Macaca mulatta: one gene and its partners. The protein of the gene in region 2 purifies or fractionates together with the protein of the main gene of each other region. This does not show direct contact. Links are inferred from orthologs where the notes say so. Each region holds a gene or a part of one and is shown on either strand. Other genes may lie near its edges. The genes, in order: SMARCD2, BCL7C, SMARCD3, DPF2, SMARCA2 and SMARCB1.

What was found.
Region 1: the proteins of BCL7C (region 2) and SMARCD2 purify together in Homo sapiens (affinity purification with mass spectrometry; 3 studies listed by BioGRID and IntAct, counting the BioPlex papers as one, with this or other methods). This does not show direct contact. The link is inferred for Macaca mulatta from reciprocal best matches to the Homo sapiens genes BCL7C and SMARCD2.
Region 3: the proteins of BCL7C (region 2) and SMARCD3 purify together in Homo sapiens (affinity purification with mass spectrometry; 3 studies listed by BioGRID and IntAct, counting the BioPlex papers as one, with this or other methods). This does not show direct contact. The link is inferred for Macaca mulatta from reciprocal best matches to the Homo sapiens genes BCL7C and SMARCD3.
Region 4: the proteins of BCL7C (region 2) and DPF2 purify together in Homo sapiens (affinity purification with mass spectrometry; 4 studies listed by BioGRID and IntAct, counting the BioPlex papers as one, with this or other methods). This does not show direct contact. The link is inferred for Macaca mulatta from reciprocal best matches to the Homo sapiens genes BCL7C and DPF2.
Region 5: the proteins of BCL7C (region 2) and SMARCA2 purify together in Homo sapiens (affinity purification with mass spectrometry; 4 studies listed by BioGRID and IntAct, counting the BioPlex papers as one, with this or other methods). This does not show direct contact. The link is inferred for Macaca mulatta from reciprocal best matches to the Homo sapiens genes BCL7C and SMARCA2.
Region 6: the proteins of BCL7C (region 2) and SMARCB1 purify together in Homo sapiens (affinity purification with mass spectrometry; 7 studies listed by BioGRID and IntAct, counting the BioPlex papers as one, with this or other methods). This does not show direct contact. The link is inferred for Macaca mulatta from reciprocal best matches to the Homo sapiens genes BCL7C and SMARCB1.

The regions. Positions count from the first base shown.
Region 1 is NC_133421.1:73,636,762-73,640,790, reverse strand, and holds the start of SMARCD2 (SWI/SNF-related matrix-associated actin-dependent regulator of chromatin subfamily D member 2), read left to right. Parts: upstream 1-1,229; 5' UTR 1,230-1,618; coding exon 1,619-1,912; intron 1,913-4,029. UniProt on the Homo sapiens protein: Involved in transcriptional activation and repression of select genes by chromatin remodeling (alteration of DNA-nucleosome topology).
Region 2 is NC_133425.1:29,522,544-29,526,835, reverse strand, and holds the start of BCL7C (B-cell CLL/lymphoma 7 protein family member C), read left to right. Parts: upstream 1-1,492; 5' UTR 1,493-1,596; coding exon 1,597-1,688; intron 1,689-2,238; coding exon 2,239-2,317; intron 2,318-2,582; coding exon 2,583-2,691; intron 2,692-2,783; coding exon 2,784-2,945; intron 2,946-3,532; exon of another isoform or gene 3,533-4,129; intron 4,130-4,292. UniProt on the Homo sapiens protein: May play an anti-apoptotic role.
Region 3 is NC_133408.1:190,675,212-190,678,711, reverse strand, and holds part of SMARCD3 (SWI/SNF-related matrix-associated actin-dependent regulator of chromatin subfamily D member 3), read left to right. Parts: coding exon 1-183; intron 184-1,943; coding exon 1,944-1,986; intron 1,987-2,805; coding exon 2,806-2,928; intron 2,929-3,045; coding exon 3,046-3,168; intron 3,169-3,418; coding exon 3,419-3,500. UniProt on the Homo sapiens protein: Involved in transcriptional activation and repression of select genes by chromatin remodeling (alteration of DNA-nucleosome topology).
Region 4 is NC_133419.1:9,052,471-9,055,454, reverse strand, and holds part of DPF2 (zinc finger protein ubi-d4), read left to right. Parts: intron 1-941; coding exon 942-1,079; intron 1,080-1,204; coding exon 1,205-1,333; intron 1,334-1,521; coding exon 1,522-1,634; intron 1,635-2,984. UniProt on the Homo sapiens protein: Plays an active role in transcriptional regulation by binding modified histones H3 and H4. Is a negative regulator of myeloid differentiation of hematopoietic progenitor cells. Might also have a role in the development and maturation of lymphoid cells.
Region 5 is NC_133420.1:97,412,973-97,416,472, reverse strand, and holds part of SMARCA2 (SWI/SNF-related matrix-associated actin-dependent regulator of chromatin subfamily A member 2), read left to right. Parts: intron 1-1,981; coding exon 1,982-2,108; intron 2,109-3,500. UniProt on the Homo sapiens protein: ATPase involved in transcriptional activation and repression of select genes by chromatin remodeling (alteration of DNA-nucleosome topology).
Region 6 is NC_133415.1:27,980,383-27,983,882, forward strand, and holds part of SMARCB1 (SWI/SNF-related matrix-associated actin-dependent regulator of chromatin subfamily B member 1), read left to right. Parts: intron 1-445; coding exon 446-583; coding exon of another isoform or gene 584-637; intron 638-2,807; coding exon 2,808-2,935; intron 2,936-3,500.

The DNA of each region.
Region 1 (4,029 bases), on a different chromosome or scaffold from region 2:
AGCGTTGGAAAACTATAAAAAATATCTGGGGTGCTATGATGCAAGAAAGGAAGCATTACTTGGTGGGGGCTGAAAAATAAACCAATTATAGTAAAGAAAAAAAAAAAAAAGTCTAGATCCTGGCTTCTTGACAGTATGGTCTAAGAAGCAACAGCATCGCTGGCAGCTTGTTAGAAATGTAGAGTCCTGGGCCCTGCCACAATCTGCATTTTTAATAAGAGCCTCGGGTGTTTTTTATGTGCTCATTAGGGTTTAAGCAGCACTGGGCCGTATCACGGTGAGGAGACCCAGACCATCAAAGGGACAGCTGAAGCATTTTTGAATACTTTGATACAGCACAGTGTATCTGAAAAGATACTGCATTTTTGAAAATTAAGTGCTATAAATACTAGAGAAAGACCTCTTTTTAAACTGCGGGGAGGTTTCTCATAAGCCAAATTTCTTTTGACTAGAAGCATTTGCTGGGGAGTAAAGTACCAGGCTTCCTTATAGTGAGGCAGAGCCACGTTAAAAATGTGCTGTAAGAGCTCAGCCTTGGCCAAGTCGACCATTCACCAGCTGGGTCAAGTCTGGAGCCTCCTAGGTCCCTTGGCAGTTCCGAGCTACCAGGATGAGCTTTTACAGGAAGTTGAGTTGGCTGCTGTTCTGCCCCAGAGAGCAGCTGAGTCTTTTTTCTTTTTTTGAGGAGTTTCACTCTTGCCGCCCAGGTTGGAGTGGAGTGGAGAGATCTCGGCTCATTGCAACCTCTGTCTCCCGGGTTCAAGCGATTCTCCTGCCTCAGCCTCCCGAGTAGCTGGGATTACAGGCGCCAGCCACCACTCTCGGCTAATTTTTGTATTTTTAGTAGAGACGGGGTTTTCACCATGTTGGCCAGGCTGGTCTCGAACTTCTGACCTCAGGTGGTCCACCCGCCTCAACCTCCCAAAGTGCTGGGATTACAGGCGTGAGCCACCGCTACCGACTCTGAGTTGGGTCTTTAATGTGGAAGATGCAGAAAGGAGACTTGACAAAACTATTTTCGGTGAGGCTGCTACACCGGGAAAGAGTAGTAGCAACTGCTCATTCACTGTGAAGCCTCAACGTGACCTTAGACCTCTGACCCCGCGCCTCACTCGGCGCTTCCGCGCGCAGCTTCCGCTCCCGCCCCTCCGATGAAGGGCGGGGCCAAAGGTGGGGGGTGGGACTCTGAGGTCGGCGGTTAGGGGCGGTGCCTGCTGGGGGCGGGTCTCGCGAGGGGCGGGATTCAAGGAGGCACTCGAGCATTGGGCACCAGGTAGAGGCGGGGCCTAGTGCTGGGCTGGGTTGGGCGGGGCAGGGAGTTCGTAGCCGCCTCTGGGTAACTCGACTCGGGCGGCCAAACCTCCGGAGTCCGGGGGCGGCAGGCGGGCCCACAGCAGATCCTGGATCCGGAATCTCCGGCGCAGGAGCGGAATCTGTCCCGAACCGGGTCTGTGAGGAACTCGCGAACTTGGATTAGGAAATCCCGGAGCCCGGATCGACAAATCCCGGAACCCGGAATTAAGATCGCCAAGTCCCGGATCGCGGAGTACAGAGCGCGGAGTGGACTCGACGCGTAGCCCGGAGTCCGGATCGCGGCACCGCGGGACGGGACGGAGCGATGTCGGGCCGAGGCGCGGGCGGGTTCCCGCTGCCCCCGCTAAGCCCTGGCGGCGGCGCCGTGGCCGCGGCCCTGGGAGCGCCTCCTCCCCCCGCCGGACCCGGCATGCTGCCCGGACCGGCGCTCCGGGGACCGGGTCCGGCTGGAGGCGTGGGGGGCCCCGGGGCCGCCGCCTTCCGCCCCATGGGCCCCGCGGGCCCCGCGGCGCAGTACCAGGTGAGTAGGGAGGACGCGAGCGGACGGGGGCGTGCGGCGCCGCGAGGGCGCCCGGGCCGGGGGCTGAGGGGGCCTCGAGTGAGGGCCTTGGGGAATGCATGAGGAACTTTGGGAGACGGTGGAGGGCGGGCCAGATCCCTCGGGCTGCGGCGGGTGGCGGTGGAGGAGTGGGGAAGGGGGAGCGAGTCCTGCAGCGGAGGGCTGGAACCAGCTGGGAGGCCTGGGGGCTTCCGCGGCACAGAGATTCCGAGTGACTGGGAGATGGAGGAGTTTGGGGAACCAGTGAATTGTGGGCGGGTGGGTTGAGAAGTCTAGGGTAGGAGGGCTAGAAAGTGATGAGAAAGTTTGGGAAAGGGCCCTCGCTGAGAAACCGGGGTTACCCTGCATCGGCCTTGGTCCCACTCCAAGTCTGCCCTGTTTTTTCTGGTTGCGAACTGGCCGAGCTCTAGCGTGTCTGAGATGGCTCCCGGCTGCTAATGAGGAGGAAGGAGCCTGGCTTCCCACGGGCACGGGACGCTGAGGCTAGGGCCAGGGGATTCATTCCAGCTTGTGCACGGGCGGACTTTACTCCAGAGGCAGGGCCAGGCGCCTTCGCTGGGGAGGACTCCAGCTTAGACCAGAGACGGTGGTGGCCAGGCTTGAGGGGAGGCCCAGCCTAGTCACAGGCCGGCTCTCTTCTGGGCTTTCTGCCTCCTGTCATCGTGTCGGGTAGTTGATTAGTCTGGACGTGCAGAGTGGAACCCTGCTGGTCTGGGGCCCGAGGAGTCTGCGAGAGTTGCTTCAAAGAGTGCTGTCCTGACCCCTTTGGGGTTTTGAGAGCTGCTCAGGTTTCAGCTTCAAAAGCCCTTGGAAGGCAGCGACTTCTGCTCAGTGTGTGAGAACCTCAGCCTGACCCTGCTGGTCCCCTAGTCTGCTGTTCAGGTTGCACCAGCAGGCTTGGAAACTGTGCCCATCTGCCTTATCATCCTCTCTGCATTTTTATTTGGCCTTCAGGTTCTAACTCCGCCACATCCGAAGCCATATGCCCCAGCATTTGACACTGGCTTCTCCCAGGGTCTGCTGTGGGCTTCCTCTGTTTTCGACTCCTGTCTCCAGGCGGAGGTCCTTAGGGATCCTCGTGGAGTATACACAGCCTACCTGCCCCACTGGGCCTCACATCTAAGGAGATGGCTTAACTAGGGACAGTGACTGGATTTTTTTCCCTTCTTCCTCCTCATTCTTCCTCCTTTCTCAAGAGAAAACAGAGTCTGGATATGGGCAGAGACAGACCTGGTCCCAGGGACTCCAGCTGGGGCTCATCTTTCCCACCCTACTCTCCCCCTTGGGGATTCATGGGCCCAGGGTGTTGCTGAGGGCTCCCTGCATCAGTCATTGTAGCCCTTGGGCCTGCCCACTGAGACCTGGCCTGGGCACCATCTGTGGGCCTTTGGCCTTGGAAGGACCTGGAACAGACAAGCCGCTCCAGTTTCCTTGGCATGCAAAAAGTCATAGGAAATGTGCCCTTGAGACAGCCCCTAAGAGAATGGATTCCACATGTTTGGTGGGGGGTGGCCTTGGGCTTGTGGCAAGGCCAAGCTGGCTGGCTGGTTAGGCCTGGGCTGCTAGCTGTGGGGAAGTAGGAGATGGCCCTGAGTCTGGGTTTCCCATCCCACTAGCTTTCCTCCTCCTGGCAGGAGAGGTAGATGGTACAGAGAACCCAGCCAGCTAACTTTGGCTGAGTTTGAAGAGGATCCTACTTGCTCTCTTTCCAAGTCCAGTTGTATGACTTCCAGGGGGGACTTGAGATCTGGGAAACAGAGGGGTTCCTGTCTGTTAGGGCTCATGAGATGTGCTGGAAAAGCGAGAATTTGAGGCCCAAGCTGAACAAATAGTTGAAAGAAGGGAAGTGATGACCTCCCTTCCTCCAGAGGGTGGTTCTGGCTGTGGATCACAGTTAACAGAGGAACCTAAAACAAAAACAACAACAAAAAACCCTCCAGGGCAGGATGTGGTGGCTCACACCTATAATCCTAGCACTTTGGGAGGCCCAGACAGAAGGATTACTTGAGATCAGGAGTTCAAGACCAGCCTAGGCAACATAGTGAGACCATAATTTCTCAAAAAAAAAAACCCAAAAAAATTTAGCCAAACTTGGTGGTGTGCGCTTATGGTCCCAGCTAGTCGGGATGCTGTGGCAGGAGGATTGCCTGAGTCCA
Region 2 (4,292 bases):
TAAATAGTTATTGGGCATTTACCATGTGCTGGGAACTGTTCTAAGAGCTATACACACATTAACTAATTCCTATGTTATAGATGCGGAATAGAGAGAAGTGACTTGTTCAGGGTAATACAGTTGGGTGTGGCGCAGCTGGGATTTTACCTAAGCAGCTTGGCTCAAAAAATGCTGTCCTAATCATGCTCCTAACCCCTTATACCCTTAACCTCGGGACATGGTCACGCCCAAACTCACAGACACAACAGGCACATCTTGAAACACACACACACACACAGCAGCACAAATTTTGACATGGTCTTATCTGCTGACAAGCCAGCCTCAAATAAAGTCAACCAAGACACACTCACTTTCTTTAAGTAATGCACATTTTATTTAAGTCATGTGATGGATTTTCACAGAGTACATATGCCCAGGGAACCAGCACCGGATCACACAACAGAACTGGATCAGCTCCCAGAAGCTCTCCCCTCATCCCCTCCCAATCCTAAGGGCGACCACTATCTTGACTTTGGTGCACTTTAAATTAGTTTTGTCTGGTTCTGAACGTAATACACCTGGAACCATCTAGTATGTACTGTTGTATTTGGCTTCTGTCACTCAAGATTTCGTCATGCGACTTGTCTATGTTGCTGGGTGTAGCCGGGCATGTCACTCCCGTTGCTGTGTCTATGTGCATGGTAATGAGTAGGGCATCATTCATTTTCCATTCTGTTGATGGGTTATTTCCAGTTTGGGGCTGTTATGAAAGGGCTCTGAACGTTCCCAAGCACCCTCTTGGTGCTCACACCTACACATTTCTGCTGGGTGTTGACAGCCTAGGAGTGGAATTGCTGGATCACAGAGGTGGCATATGTTCGGCTTCACTAGAAAACTGCCAGTTCTCAAAACGTCTCTACCAATTTACACTCCCCCAGAAATACAAGAGAGGTTCAGTCGCTCTACTTTCTCGCCTCCACATGGTGCGGTCTTTTTCACTTTAGCCATTCTGGTGGGTAGAGACCTACTCGTATTCGCAGCGCCTGGCGCGTAATTGGCGCTCAGTTAACAGGACTGTTGAATGAATGGATGAATGAGTGTTGGGCGGTGTAGACCGAGAGCCTGGCGAGGGCGGACACACGCACGCACTCCACACACAGCGTTTCGCGGACACCCACCGCGGCGCACGCACCCCAGGACACAGACCCTCTCGAGCACCCCGCGCCCACGTGGTCTGAACGCACCGCCTCGGCCCTGCCTCGCGCGTCCGGCAGCCGAGCAGTACCCAACTCCCGCTCTCGACGGCGGGCAGGGGGCGCTGCGCGTCCAGGCGCTCCGAGGGGGCGGGCCCGGGTCGGGGCGGGGCCGGCCGGGCTTCCAGGCCTGGGCTCTGGCCGCCCGCGCCACCGGGCCGCTCCGGGGACGGGCCGGGGCGGGGCACGGCGGCAGGAAACGGGGCGGGGACTCGCGGAGGCGTTGGGGACGAGAGAGGGCGCGGCCAACTCCCGGGGGGACGGCAGGCCGAGAGCGCGGCGCCCGGGCCTGGCGCCGAGCCTGAGCCCGCCGGACGGGAGGCGGCCCCGCCGCGGGCTCGGCTCCGGCCCCAGCCCCGCCAGCATGGCCGGCCGGACCGTACGGGCCGAGACCCGGAGCCGGGCCAAGGATGACATCAAGAAGGTGATGGCGACCATCGAGAAGGTCCGGAGATGGTGAGCGCTGCCCGGGGGCCAGGGACGGGACACGGCGGGACCACCACCACCTAAGGCGTCTAAGCTGCCCTCGCCAGCTCTGGGCCCCGGTGTTCGCTGTATCCCCGCCCACTAGCTTTGCCCTGGATCTGTCCCCGTTCCCCTGGCTACTCCTGGGGGTCTACAAAGCGTGGTCCCCAGTCGTGCTCTCCCAGAGTGGGAGCCCCCGTTTGTGCCCCGCCCCCTAAAGCTTTGACACTCCTTCTGCAAGTGCGCCCCGAGATCTGCAGGTCTCTGATCCCGGGCCAGGCCCATAGCCACGCCCCCCGTGTGTGCCCCAGGGGTCCGCAGAGCCAGGGCCCAAATCATATCCTCTGTCTAGAGGCACCCACCGCCTGTGCCCTGGGGTTTGCAGGGCTCTCTTTCTCCATGTAACTATGCCCCATTAGCAAAACTGTTGCTACCCTCCTGTGCCTCCCCAACCTCTGCAGGTACCCCCAGATGTGTCCGGCTCCTGGGGGGGTGGGTCTCCCCTCAGGCCTCTCTGACCCAGTCCCCCACCCTCCCACAGGGAGAAGCGATGGGTGACTGTGGGCGACACTTCCCTTCGTATCTTCAAGTGGGTGCCAGTGGTGGACCCCCAGGAGGAGGTGAGCAACCCCCATTCCCACAAGGCCCTGCATCTGTGCAACCTCAGGCAAGCTCCTCCCCACCCTGACCTCTACCTCCAGCTCCCAGAGACCTCAGATGCAGCAGGACAGACAGATGGGAACCATCATTAGCAGCTCCTCCCCTTTTTCCCTCTTTTCTGTTCCACACCCTGAGTTCGAGCCCTTTTGCTTCTCAGTGCCTCAGTTTCCTTAGGTGTATGGTGGGGCTTTCCAAGAGCTCTGACCCTAATCCTCTAACCCCCAGGAGCGAAGGCGGGCAGGTGGCGGGGCAGAGAGATCCCGTGGCCGGGAACGTCGGGGCAGGGGCGCCAGTCCCCGAGGGGGTGGCCCTCTCATCCTGCTGGATCTCAATGGTAGGTAGGGATCCTGAAATGCGGAGGGCTGTGGGGACTGAAGGAGTGTATTAGGGATCTCAGGCCAACCATCTCGGCTCTTGCTCCCACAGATGAGAACAGCAACCAGAGTTTCCATTCGGAAGGTTCCCTGCAAAAGGGCACAGAGCCCAGTCCTGGGGGCACCCCCCAGCCCAGCCGCCCTGTGTCACCTGCCGGACCCCCAGAAGGGGTCCCTGAGGAGGCTCAGCCCCCACGGCTGGGCCAAGAGAGAGGTAGGACCAGGTACCTCCCAGGAGCCCTCTCCTCTAAGTCCTGTCTTCTCCAGAGTCTAACCTACCAGCTTATCCCTATACCTGCTCCCCATCTTGTGCACCTTCCTCAAGGTGCCTTCCGACTCCTGCAGAATGTCTCTGTAGTTGCTGTCTCATTCCTCTGGTCTCTTAGGATCTATAGATGACATATCACTGTCTGAGACTTTCATGTAAATTAATTTTTTACTATCTTTCTCCTCACTCTCATGTCAGTTTCCTGAATGTTGGGCCCATATTAATCCTTTTTTTTTTTTTTTTTTTTTTTTTGAGACAGGGTCTCACTGTGTCACCTAGGCTGGAGTGGTGCAGTGGTGTGATCATAGCTCACTGCAGCCTTGAACTTCCTGGGCTCAAGCGATCCTCCCGCCTCAGCCTCCCAAGTAGCTTGGACCACAGGCATATGCCATTTGTATTTTTTGTAGAGGCAAGGTTTCACCATGTTGCCCAGGCTGGTCTCAAACTCACTCACTCAAGCGATCCTCCATCTTCAGCCTCCCAAAGTGCTGGGATTACAGGTGTGAGCCATCACACCCATACCCGCCCCCCCCTTTATTTTTTTAGAGAGAAGTTCTCTGTCACCCAGGCTGGAGTGCACTGGTGCAATCATAGCTCACTGCAGCCTCAAACTCCTGGGCTCAAGGGATCCTCTGGCCCCAGCCTCCCAAGTAGCTGGGGACTACAGGTGTGTGCCACCACACCCAGCTAACTTTTAAATTTTTTGTAGAGTTAGGGTCTCGCTATGTTGCCAAGGTTGGTTTCGAACTCCTGGCCTGAAATGATCCTTCTGTCTCAGCCTCCCACGGTGCTGGGATTATAGGCGTAAGTCACTGTGCTTGGCCCTATGTGATCTTGTTCACTACTGTATTCTCAGAATAATATGGGACACAGAGTAGGTGCTCAGTAAATATCTGTTGAGTGAATAAATAATAGTGATAGTCATAGGGGTGATTAATAATAACAGGAATAACAACAGTATTTATTGAGCTCTTACTGTGTGCCAGGCGCCCTGGTAAACACTTTACATGGTTGGGTTTTTTTCTTTTCTTTTCTTTTTTTCCTTTGAGTTTCACTCTTGCCCAGGCTAGAGTGCAATGGCACAATTTTGGCTCACTGCAACCTTCACCTCCCAGGTTCAGGCAGTTCTCCTGCCTCAGCCTCCTGGGTAGCTGGGAATATAGGCATGAACCACCATGCTCGGCTAGTTTTATATTTTTAATAGAGATGGGGTTTCGCCATGTTTTGCCAGCCTCGAACTCCTGACTTCAGGTGGTCCGCCCACCTCGGCCTCCCAAAGTGCTGGGACTACAG
Region 3 (3,500 bases), on a different chromosome or scaffold from region 2:
GCCCCACCAGGGGGCGCCCATGGGCCCCCCGGGCTCCCCCTACATGGGCAGCCCCGCCGTGCGACCCGGCCTGGCCCCCGCGGGCATGGAGCCCGCCCGTAAGCGAGCAGCGCCCCCGCCCGGGCAGAGCCAGGCACAGAGCCAGGGCCAGCCGGTGCCCACCGCCCCCGCGCGGAGCCGCAGGTGAGTGGGAGGCCCGGCGCGGAGGGGGCGTGCAGGGGCGGGCCCTGGGGACCCGCAGGGACCAGGTGAGAGAGTAGCGGGGATTGGAAGAGGTGAGGAAGAATGATTAGCAGGGAGCGAGGCTTCCCGGATCGGATGCCCTCTGGGGAGGTGGGCTTAGGGGGCACCGGCCTGATTCTTTTGTGTGCCCACGGTAGAGACAGGCTGTGGCCGTCGGCAGCCGGTACCGCTTCCCTGCACGTTCCCCTCACCCTTCTCCTTGTCACCTGCTCAGTCCCTCTCTCCACCCATCAGGTTCTGGGTGATGCTTCAGTCTTTGGGTTGGGGGCGGGGCTTCCAGTGGGACTGAGGGCAGAGCTGTAGGACTGTGTTGCCCAAAGTGTAGTTCTCCGCTGAGCCTTCCTGCCAGACCCCGGACTGTTTCAAAGCCACTCCAGATTTTCTCAATGGGACTCTCTGGCCCTGGGGGTGGAGCTTGGGGATTTGCCCTGTGGTAGGTGGTCTCTGCCCAGTTCCGCTCTTAATTCTTAGGCACTCTGGACCAGGTCTGCTCCCAAGCCACCAGGGCCAGCCCATTGCCTTATTTTCCTCCAGCAGCTGGTGGCACCCTTAAAGCCCCTGCTGGCTCCTGGCAACAGCAGTGCCCCTCTGGATTTCAGTATTTAGCCAAATACACATGCTTTTTTTGCACAACAGATGGATTTCTATAAAAGGTGTAATATCAATTTTACCTCATTATTAAGTATTTTTTACACATCAGGTAAAATTCACCACTTATAGGAATCCCATGATGAATTATTTTGTAAAGTGCATCGTCATTTTGTACAGCAAACGGTAATTCCCTGATTTATCTTGTATAAATGGAGAGTTACACAAAGATAATCTGTCTAAAACAAACCAGACCTTTAATGAAATCTGCTTGTTAGCCTTAGATTTCTGCATAGGGAGGGGGTAGTGGTTGAGAACACCACACGGGGGCAGTATGGAGCTATTCTCTAGGCTGCGTTTTCATCTCTTGACCCGCCAAGGTTTTTCTGGGGGTTTTTGGGTTAGTCAGCAGCAGCTAGTGGGTCAGAAAGAGCTCACATCCAGCTGCTACTACCCTGGGCCTAGTCAGTTTGGCCTCAGCCTGAAGTCACACCCATGCACATTCTGGGCGCCTATGGCTGCAGCATGTCCCTCACCTTGTTGCCAGGTAGTCCCAGGGCATGAGTACCCCTGCTCATCAGCATTCTCTTGCAAGCCCAGGGTGCCTGGAAGGGATGCAAGTCCCGCCAGCTTCACACCATCACCTCCCGCTCCATGGATAGGAAGGAAGTCGTCTATCTCCCTCCCTCTGAGCTTAGAATCCTTTGGACAGGGCACCCCCTGCTTTCCAGAAAAGGTCCTCAGACCTGGCTTCCCTCTCCTTTGTCCTCCCTCATCCCCACCTTTCCTCAAACACTTCTGCAGCTCCCATCTTTTGGCAGCACCACCCCCACTCGCCAGTCCCTCCTAAGTCTAAATTTCTCTGTCCCTAAGGATGTGGCAGGTTAGAAGGGGGCTCCCAGGCCAGAGAATGGACGGGTCACCCCTGTGTCCTTAGAGAGGACAGAGCACCAGTTCCACACACCACCGTCATAGCCCTTGGGCGGGCAGACAAGCGGGCTGTGGGAACCCCAGCCAGGCGGGCGGAGATGTCGGGATAATTTAGCAGGTGGCCTCGTTACTCCCAGATCTGTCGCCATGGTAACCTGGTTTTTTCTTTAAAAAATGTACAGTGCCAAGAGGAGGAAGATGGCTGACAAAATCCTCCCTCAAAGGGTGAGTGTCTTTCACAGCAGCCCCCAGCCCACCCCCTACCCTTTGCTGCTCTGCCCTCCCCTCCCCCCTCAAAAGCAGAGCTTCAGTGTCACAGTCACTTTCACTTTTTGTTTAAAAAAACTCATTAGTAAGTGAGGCTCCCTAGGCCAGAGGGAGGGGGTGAGGTGGAGGGAAGCAGCAGAGCCACTGGGGCCAGAACACAGGGGCCTGTCAGGGGGCTGGATCCAAGTGGTACTAAGACAGAGTTGTGGGACAAGAAGGGGGCAAGAGCTAGGGGATCAAAAGCTGCCAGGCAGAATGAAGGGGATAGAAGGTGGCCAGAGATCCTGAGCATCCTAAAGGGACCCAGGTCCAGCTGGATATGGGGGACAGCACAGTTGGGACAGGTGTGGGGGCTGAGCAATGTGCCAGCAAAGAAGAAAGCACTGCTGTCCAACTGTCCCAGGGATTGAGCCCCTACTAGGCACTTTGCAGGGGCCCAGGGGAAGCCCAGTGGGCATATGACATAGAAAATGACAGGATGAGGAGACTAAAGGCTAGTGCTTTGCTGGGTTCCACAGTTGCTACCTCCTCCCCGTGATGATACACAAGGCTCTTCCTAAAGGGAGAAGCAATTGTTATCCCTACACAGCAAGGCCCCTACTGCTGGATAATGGCATCCTGGGGAGAGGTCCTGTTCCCACTGTCAAAGCTCCATGCCCAGAAGTAGGATGGCTCCCCCGACATCTTTTGCACCCTAGGATTGCACAACATGCATACATTCCATGGTACAACCCTGGACTCGAGCCTCTGACTCCTGCCCTGCTCCTCCTCCTCCAGATTCGGGAGCTGGTCCCCGAGTCCCAGGCTTACATGGACCTCTTGGCATTTGAGAGGAAACTGGATCAAACCATCATGCGGAAGCGGGTGGACATCCAGGAGGCTCTGAAGAGGCCCATGAAGGTGCCTTAGTTCGGGGGTAGGAAGGGGACTCTTGAGTCGCGTGACCAGGATGGGGAAGCAAGGTAGTCAGGGTGGAAGCACACAGCATTTGCCAGGTTCTACACTCTATTTCTACAGCAAAAGCGGAAGCTGCGTCTCTATATCTCCAACACTTTTAACCCTGCGAAGCCTGACGCTGAGGACTCCGATGGCAGCATTGCCTCCTGGGAGCTACGGGTGGAGGGGAAGCTCCTGGATGATGTACGTCCCGGCCCAGGTCTCTCCAGGTGTCCTGGGGTGGGCACGGGCTGCACTGAGAACAGAACAAAGTGTCTGCACTAAGGGCTAGGGAGTCAGCCCAGGCTGGGGAGGTGGGGGCAGGCCTAGAGACATTCCAGGTGCAGAGGATTTCATCTAAGCCCACTGCCCTGTCTGCTGCCAACTTGGCCTCCTTCTGCTTCTCCCACCCTGTCCCTGTTCTGCCCCCATGGTTCCTGTTCCTCTCCCACAGCCCAGCAAACAGAAGCGGAAGTTCTCTTCTTTCTTCAAGAGTTTGGTCATCGAGCTGGACAAAGATCTTTATGGTCCTGACA
Region 4 (2,984 bases), on a different chromosome or scaffold from region 2:
ATCTCTGGAATGGCATGGGGGTAGGAGCAGTGGAACTTCTGCTGTGCTCTACTCCTCAAAGTCCTGGAGGCTGCCTTTACCACTGCTTGTCTCCCACAAACCTACTCCTAGAGCTGCTCAGCCCAGTGCATGGGGTGGCTTCAGAAGCATTATCAGGAGCCCATTACAATCAGACCCTTCCGCTCCCTCCCCAGATCAGGCACCTGGTGGTCAGCTCATGTTCCCCACTGCCCCACCACCTCCTGCCATCCTCTCTCCCCATTCCTTTCCTGCTGGCCCCCTTGCCCTTCTTGGTATTACCTGTCAAGATGACAGAATGCCTCGTGGGGATCTGCTTTCCTTGCTGATTGGCAGGCCTGGACAGGGCAATTATGTGGGAGTGTGTTTGAATTTCTCTGGGGACAACTGCCCAACTGGCTTCATTGATAGGATATCCCCAAGAAACCCACCCCTGCTTGTTTACGCACATTCAGAGGAGATGGGCTCCATGGTCTCTGTGGGGTAGCTGAGCCTCCCACGTTTACTGATGGGTAAAAACGTTTGGAGTTTTATCCGCTTTTCCCCCTTCTTGCCACACCAAAGACTTATAGGAATATCCTTCCCTTTCCTGACCTGGAGCGTCCCAGACTGTTACTATATCCCAGAGCAACTAACTAGTGATGGGGCGAGGGCTAAGCCCCCAAAAGTCAACATGGAAGAGCAGTGGTGGCCATGGGGTTGGAGTTTAGGAGGTAAAAGAGTCCCAGAGGCTAGAGAGCCCCAGGGCTTGATGCTCGTGGCTGAGGGAAAGGGGCCATCACTTAAGGCCTGTCCCAGAGTAGAGCTGCTAGGGGAAGGGATGGTTGCCCTCTGCCTCAGGTGGAGCCCCCACAGTTTGCAGGGGTGGGGACATGTTACTCTTGTATCCTAACACCTTTCTCTGCAATCTTCTCCCCACTCAGTTTGTGGAAAACGTTACAAGAACCGACCAGGCCTCAGTTACCACTATGCCCACTCCCACTTGGCTGAGGAGGAGGGCGAGGACAAGGAAGACTCCCAGCCACCCACTCCTGTTTCCCAGAGGTCTGAGGAGCAGAAATGTAAGCTGAGGTGTCAGAAGTGGTGGGCAAGCAGAAGTTGGCCTGGTTATGAAAACCACTCCTTGCATGGGTGTTGAGTGGCTCAGGGACCCCATGGGCGTCATCAAAAGTCTTTCTCTCTGCAGCCAAAAAGGGTCCTGATGGATTGGCCTTGCCCAACAACTACTGTGACTTCTGCCTGGGGGACTCAAAGATTAACAAGAAGACGGGACAACCCGAGGAGCTGGTGTCCTGTTCTGACTGTGGCCGCTCAGGTACTGCCTCCCGTGAAGGCTGCTGCTGTGCCCAGTCCCCAAGGGGCTCTTGGCTTGCTGGCCTCTAGTGCTGTCATAACCAGCCCACCTCACTTTACCTAACCAAGAGAAGATGTAGCCACAAGCAGGAGCTCCTCTCTTCCCCCTGCATTTCCAACTGTCTGTCTCACTCACTTCCCCCACTATAGGGCATCCATCTTGCCTCCAGTTTACCCCCGTGATGATGGCGGCAGTGAAGACGTACCGCTGGCAGTGCATCGAGTGCAAATGTTGCAACATCTGCGGCACCTCTGAGAATGACGTGTGTATCCCCGCCCCCTCCTCAGCATGGCTCCTTCTGGGCTTTTACTGCTGTTTGCACAGTTCCCTCTAAAGTGAGCTTTCTTTTTTTAAAAAGGGAGCAAGATCCCTCCTACATGCCACATGCCCCTCCCTAGCATCTCAGTCAGAACTCTGATTTGTTGCCAGATAATATATATATTGAGTGCTGATTTTATGTCAGACACTGTTCTAGGCACTAAAGATACTAAAGACAAACAAGGTCCCTGCCGCATGAGATTTACATTCTTACAGGAACAACAATAAGCAAGGATGTGAGATTTGTATAATGTGCCATGAAAAAAATGAAACCAGTAATGTGGCAGAGAATAATTGCATAAGTGATTTATTTTGATGGTGAGGTTTGGCTCTTCTGGGAGGGGGATGCTGGTGTTGAAATTTTGTGATACCAAGGAGCCAGTCAAGCAGATTTGGAGGTAGAGCAGTCCCAGGAAAGGAGCAGCCAGTGCCAAGGCCTTATAGTGGACAAGCCAAATGATAGGGCATGGGAGAGGATGGCGGGGGATGAGATGAGAGAGGCAAGCACTGCCAGATCTGTGGGGCCTTGGATTTTATTCTAGGTACAATAGGACACTGTCAAAGGGTTTTAATCAGGGAAGTGACATGGTTATTTATGTATGTATTTATTTATTTTATTTATTTATTTTTTTGAGACGGAGTCTTGCTGTGTCGCCCAGGCTGGAGTACAGTGGCACGATCTCGGCTCACTGCAACCTCTGCCTTCCAGGTTCAAGCGATTCTCCTGCCTCAGCCTCCCAAGTAGCTGGGATTACAGACACGTGCCACCACATCTGACTAATTTTGTATTTTTAGTAGAGATGGGGTTTCTCCATGTTGGCCAGGCTGGTATTGAACTCCTGACGTCCGGTGATCCGCCTGCCTCAGCCTCCCAAAGTCCTGGGATTATAGGTGTGAACCACCGCACCCGGCTGTTTATTTATTCTTTATGTATTTATTTTTTTATTTTGAGACAGAGTCTCTCTGTCACCCAGGCTGGAGTGCAGCGATGCAATCTTAGCTCACTACCACCTCTCCCTTTAGGCTCAAGCAATCCAATCCTTCCACCTCAGCCTCCCAGGTAGCTGGGACCATAGATGCACACCACCATGCCTGGCTTCTTTTTTTTATATTTTTGATAGAGACAGGGTCTTGCCATATTGCTGAGCTGGTCTCAAACTCCTGAGCTCAAGCAATCCTCCCACCTTGGCCTCTCAAAGTGCTGGGATTACAGGCGTGAACCCACCATGTTTGGCATTGTCTTATATTTTATTTTATATTTATTTATTTATTTCAAGATGGAGTTTTACTGTTG
Region 5 (3,500 bases), on a different chromosome or scaffold from region 2:
TGAAAAATAGTTTTCCTTACCACCATTTTAAAATTTTTAAAAATGATGACATTTTATTTCCCTTCCAAACTAAGCAACTGTAGGTTTTTACAAAAAATCACTCATTTTGATATTTGGCTATATGAAGTATTAGATCTCCTACAGCATTTAGGACCAGGAGGTTTTACTTTTTCATGTTAATGAAAATGATGCCTGTCATCATCAGCATCTTGGCAAGGAAGACAAATGGCCTGGTTGCCTTAGGACAGAACTAGAAGTTAGAAAGAAAAAAAGTCTGTCCTCTCAGCTCTGTAGTCTGGCAACACCATCATGTTTGGAAAACACTGTAATATTCATTTTTTAAGATAATTTCGACTTTTATTTGAGATTCAGGGGATGCATGAATAGGTTTCTTAACATGGGTGTATTGCATAATGCTGAGGTTTGGGGTGCAATGGATCCCATCATTCAGCTAATGAGCATAGTACCTAAAAGTTTTTCAACCCTTGCTGCCCTCCCTCCCTCCCCCGTTTAGTAGTCGCCAGTGTGTATTGTTGCCATCTTTATGTCCATGAATACCCAATGTTTAGCTGCCACTTAAAAGTGAGAACATGCGGTATTTGGTTTTCTGTTCCTGCATTAATTTGCTTAGGATAATGGCCTCCAGCTGCATCCATGTTGCTGCAAAGGACATGATTTGGTTGTTTTTTTTTTTTAATGGCTGTGCATAATTTTAAACAGAATTCTTAATTTTCAACTTTTATAGTTGAGGTCCAGGAAGGTTCTCAGAAAGTATATTTTAATTATCTACCGTTTCATTGCAGTGGTTTTGGTATCAGGCAAATTGAGGTTCCAGTCTTGGCCCCCTTCTTTACTAGCTCTGTGGTATCTCCAGGTGTCTTCAGTTTTCCTCATCAGTAACATGGGACCATTATAACATTTACCTTATAGAGAGAGGCGTGTCTGTGTGTGTAAGAGAGAGACAATTAAATAAAATTATGCATTAAAGGCACTTAGTTCTGTTAATATTAACCTAGTTTAACTTATTACTCATTTTATCATTATTCTTTCTTTGTTGAAATCTAGTTCAGTACAGTTTGCCTCAAATTTAGGGGATGTAGTTCTAAAAACAGGCTTAAATGGCATATAATTATTTGTCAGAATAGGATTCAGGTGAACTCTAAAACCAGCAGTTTATATATCTAACAGTAATAGTATCCCAAGTGAATGGCTAAAGTGAGAGGTCTTTTATTTTCTACTCTGCCTTTATTATGCGGAAGTACATGCAGTTATATTTTTGATGGTGTGTAAAACGAGAATCCTCAACATCCTTTTCTAGAAACTCTTGGTTTTTGAGTACTATTTACTGCTGGCCCTGATTTTTTAAAAACAGCCTCATTTGTATTTTCTTTTCTCAAGCAAGCTCTGCTCACGGAGGAAGTGGCTGTGGCTGGCAGAGCGCTTTCTGAATGTTTAGGGTTGGCTGATTTCTGTGGCATCAGCACCTAAAACCGTTCTTGCTCTCTCCGCTTTAATGGCTGTTCGTCATCGGCATCTTGGCAAAGAAGACAAATGGTCCGGTTGCCTTAGGACAGAACTAGAAGTTAGAAAAAAGTGTGTCCTCTCAGCTCTGCATTCTGTCCGGCTGGGAGTTAGGAAGCGAGTCAATTGTTTCTGTCTCTCATTTCTCTCTCTGCTAAGAGCGAGCAAGGACATTTGACTTCCCCACTAGATACAGGGTGAACCCTCTTTCCCTGGTGTTAGATAGGGGTTATGGAGGAAGCCACATTGTTAAGTTAACATATACCTGTCTGCATTAATACAAAGGTAGCTTTTCTCTGCTTAACATCAAAAATTCTAGTTGGGTGTCAGAAATCAACTATCAGTATCTGGAATATGTTTTGCCCTGAACTTAAACCTGATGTCATTGTTTATCATGTAACATTAAATTGTAATGTGTTTTTCCACTGCCCCCTTTTCCCCGTTTTATTGTTTCCTTCAGACTTCAGGCCCGCATAGCTCATAGGATACAAGAACTGGAAAATCTGCCTGGCTCTTTGCCACCAGATTTACGAACCAAAGCAACCGTGGAACTAAAAGCACTTCGGTTACTCAATTTCCAGCGTCAGGTAATACCTTTTCCCCAGTGAATCTGAGATGTAGGAAATAAATGTAATTGTTCCTAAAGTGTTATCTGTGTTGCCTTTAGTCTATTCGATATTGTTATAAAGATATAAAGAGAGAAACATAGTAAAATAGTGAATCTTTTAGACCAACAGCTTACAACTAAAAATAATGAAGATGAACTGCTTATTATTCTGGTTTTCTCTTCTGTATATGGGAAAGAGTTTTTCCTCCTGTACTATGGTTTACAAAGTCAAGAGTTATGGCATTTTGTTACCATGGATGAAAAACCTTGGGAACAAGTGGGGTAGCTCATGTTTGCCTTTATGACTCCAAGGAAAAACCAGAAGGTAGTAGAGTGGAGCTTCTTCGTAAGCACAGATGTTAAGTGCTAGCCACGACTGTGAAAAGAATTTTAACAAATATGATAGCCACTCTACAGAATTAGTTCATCATTTATAGAAATACATAAAACAGTGTCTTACAGCTTATTTATTCACCAATATCTGAGTTTGGAGTGTTTAATCACATCAGGCTCATACAGTGACTAATCTGTAAATTATCTTGTCATTACAGTAGTTATTAAAAGCCAGTATAATGACCTATTTTCTGATTTCTAAATTAGTAAGAGACTAGTGGAATGAATTAGAGCTACTTTTCACTTTGGTGAGTTTTGCCTTGTGGACTCAGAATGTTCAAGTTTGCTAGTCCACAGATTGCCTCACTAAGCCAAAGGGGAGAAGGAGCCTTTCATTGTTAGTCAGATGGGTTTGTTTTGTTAAAGCCTGGAACATGCAAAATGAATGATTAATGAGTAAAAGTAGTTTGGAAGTATTGACTTGGTCTGTTGGAGGATGCGAGTAAAATCACAGGCCACTCCCCTTGCTATTGTAGGAATTTGGGTGTATATTTGCCTTACTGGCTATAATATCACAGATGGACATTAGTGGTGAGTAGGTGCTACTTGGCCCTTGGTTTGTGAGAGTAGATTTCAGCTTAAATTTTAAAAAGAAGAGGGAAAATTCTCTGAGTTCTGTTTACTTCTTTCTTATTGGTGACCTCACAAGATGAATTAATAAAGTGCTGGATAAAATCTCACTAAATGAATATTAACCAAGTATATTTTCAGGAATAAGTTTATGTTCAAATTAGCATTGCTGTGCTGGATTCTTATTGGTTTCTGATTTTTGTTTGATATTATTTTAAAAATCTGTTATTTATGAAGCTTCCCAATTAAATTAACTGTAACTAATGATGATTTCAGATTCAGTGGAATGATTATTTAATGTGTATTCTCCAGTCCCTACCCCCTACCACCACATAGCATGCAATACAGATAAAAGTATTACATTTGTGATGATCTAAAATAAGTTCATGATATAATACAAAATGTAGCT
Region 6 (3,500 bases), on a different chromosome or scaffold from region 2:
CCTGGACTGCCCCTCAGTCTCTCCTCCCTGCTGCTGCCTGTGCCCCTCCCCACAGTGAACCCTGACTTGGTGTCTAAGGCTCTGCTCTATTGTCCACCCCTTGTACAAGCCTCCCCCTTGTACCACTTCCCGCATCTCCAGGAAGTGCTTCTGTGGAGCCATGCCTGGCTCATAGTGCAGTACACCATGGCCGTGGGTTAGCAACTGACCTGCGTGCTGGGCTGTGTCTGGTGCCCCTCCATACCCTTGCCCTTGCTCAGGTGCCTCTAGCATCTGATGACAGCCTGGGGAGCAGGCTTCTGCAAAATCAGGTGCACAGACAACTCCCACGGGAGCCTCGAGCCTGACAGAGGTACAGTGGGCATCCCCTGAGCATGAGTTGATTCCTGGTGGGCAGGATCAGGCTCCTAGACTGACTGGGGGGACTTTTCTTGTATCTCCCCAGGGAACAGAAGGCCAAGAGGAACAGCCAGTGGGTACCCACCCTGCCCAACAGCTCCCACCACCTGGATGCCGTGCCATGCTCCACGACCATCAACAGGAACCGCATGGGCCGGGACAAGAAGAGAACCTTCCCCCTTTGGTGCGGATGTGTCGCTGCGCTCACCCTCTGCCCTGATTCTCCCTTAGTTCTCCAGCACATTTCAGTCCCCTCCTCCCCAGAAAAACACTGCTTTGACCTTGTGCTCCCCACAATGCTACAGTACCTCCTTCTCTTTGAACCACTGTGTTTCCCTGACCTCCAGGACATTGTCTGTAGCCTCTTTGGCTCTGTCTGCTGTCACCTTGCCGTGTCCTCCTCACCTCTCTGGCCCCTCAAGTGGAGTTACTCGGGGCGCGGTCCTTGTGCCCTTTCTCTGCCCTCAGTTTCACACGAGTGGGTCATAGCCAGTCTGACGGTTCACATGCCATCCACGTGATTCCCACCGCGCCACCACTTCCCAGAGGCTGCTGGAATAAACCACCACAAACTGGTGGCTGCCAGCAGTGCACAGTTCTTCCCTCACAGTTCGGGGGCCCAGGAGCCCAGATTTGGTTTCACTAGACCAGATGCATGTGTAGACAGGGCCGTGCTCCCTCCAGAGGCCCTCGGGGCGATTCGGTCCTTGCTGCTTCCGGCTTTGGGGGCTGCCACATTCCTGGGCCTGTGGCTGCCTCACTTCAGTCTCGGCCTCTGTGGTCACGTGGCCTTCTCTGCGTGAAATCTCCCTGTCTCTCTCTTAGAAGGACACTTGGTGATGTAATTTAGGGCCCTTCTGGTTAACCTCTCAGGATGTTTCACTTAATCGCATCTGCAAAGTTTCCTTTTTTGGCCATATGAGGTGACAGTTATAGGTTTTGGGGATTAGGCTGTAGATGTCTTCGGGGTCTGTTTTTTACCTCTGCAGCCCAGACTTCCTCAGCTGCCCTCACCCCCTCAGCCTCATGCTGCCTGAAGACTTCTCCATCTCGGCGCATGGAGATCCAGCCGTCTCCTTGCTCAGGCTGTAGCTTTCTTTCCCAAGGCCTGCCTTTTCCTCACACAGCAAGTCCAGTCTCTCCAAGGTCCCACCCGGGACTGCCTTGGCCAGCCCCCCACTGCTCTCCCTGGGGTCTCTAGCAGCCCCTGCCTCCCCTCCCTGTTGCCTTCTCAGCTCTGCAGCTGGTGTGTCCTCTGCTCCAGGCATATCGTGTCACCTCTCCACGCACAATCCTCCAGGCTCCCCATCACCCTCGGAGCAGAAGGAGGAGTTCTCACTGGGGTGCCAGGCCCAACCTGGCCTGGTGCTGCCACTGCCACACTCTGCCCCACTCACTCTGCCTCAGACCTGAGATCGCCCTCACTGCTGTCAGACCTCCCAGAGCTTCTGCCCAGCAGTTGCCTCTGCTAAGGTTTAGCCCGTTCTCCTTCCTCCCCTCTTTCCTTTCTTCTTTCTTTCCTTCCATCATTTCTCCTTCCCTCCTTCCCATCCTTCCCCCTCCTCCTTTTCCTTCTCTCTTCCTTCCCTCCATCTCCTCTTCCCATCCCTAGTTGACTGTCCCCTTCTCCCTTAGAGTGGCCACCCCTTTCCTCCAGCACCCCTACCCCTTTCCCTGTCTGTTTCCCAGCGCATTCATGCCTGGCACTCAGCTCGTTTCTCTCTCTCTTCCATCTGCCTCCCAAGATCGCGGGGGCCCTTCTCAGCCCTCTCCATGCTCCCAGACGCCCTTAGGTGTCCTCTGTCCTCCAGCTCCATCTCACCAACCTGCCTGCCCAACTCTTCCCTCTTTATCTTCCCAAAATACTCAACTCCATTGCTTGGAATCCTCCTGGGACTCCCTCAGGGCAGTGGCCAGTTTGTGTAGCCTGAGAGGAGAACTGTGGGTGCTTCGACACCCGCTAGCTTTGCAGCATCCCTGACCACTGCCCCCCATGGAATCTGTGCTCTGTGGTCTGTTTGTGCGTCCTCAGCAGTTCCTCCATTCACCTGCTTTGGCCTTACTGGAATATATCCTCTTCTAGAAATGCTATTCTGCTTGCCTACAGCCTTCTGTGAAAGTCCTGCCAAATTTCAGGCTTAAATATCCCTTCACAGGACATCTGGGTTTTGTTCCAGCACTGCCCGGGTCGATCCTATTGCAGACAGACTGGTGCTTGTCATTTATGGACCCACCTGTCCCCATTAGACCATGGCCCTGGGACCCCTGCTGCCTCAGCTGTTAGCTGATAAGTGACCATGTTCCCCAGATGGGTTTGCAGAGGCCTGCTGTGCAGAGAGGGAGGCTGAAAATTTGCATGCCTAGGGCCCTGGCACCCTCACTGACTGTTGCTTCCATTTCACTTTCAGCTTTGATGACCACGACCCAGCTGTGATCCACGAGAATGCATCTCAGCCCGAGGTGCTGGTCCCCATCCGGCTGGACATGGAGATCGATGGGCAGAAACTGCGAGACGCCTTCACCTGGAACATGAATGGTACAAGGCAGTCGGGCTTGGCTGGGCCTGGCCCCAGCCCCTGTGTGTTACGTGGGAACAGTCCCCTTTCCTACCAGCTGCCTGTCAGGCAGATTCTGGACCTGACATGCGGGACATCGGGGCATAGTTTTGGAGGGTGTGGGCTCTGGGTTCAGCCCTGGTTCTGTTGCTGTTCACTGTGGGTTGGGCATGTGAACTTCGGACTCCTTTCCCCATACTGAGGTTGGGGGGCCCAAGGGGCCTGGCATGGGAGGTGGCTGGTGTGCATAGCATGGATGATGATGACAATGCCACTTAGACCTAGTTCAGCCCCCGAGCCCTGCACACACCTGCCTTGGGTCCTGTCCACCACCCTGTTTCTGCTGTGTGAGGCTGCATGTGTGCCCCGTGCCTCTCTCCTCCCCTAACTGGTCATCTCTTTAGATATCCTCACTCTGTAAGTCCTGGGTCAGGTGCCATCTCTTCTGGCTCTTCCTGGGCTTCCAAAGCCTGAACAGAACTCAGTCTTTGTGCAGATGTAGACAGAAAGGTTAGAAGGGTATGCATCCCAAGTGTCTAGACTGCT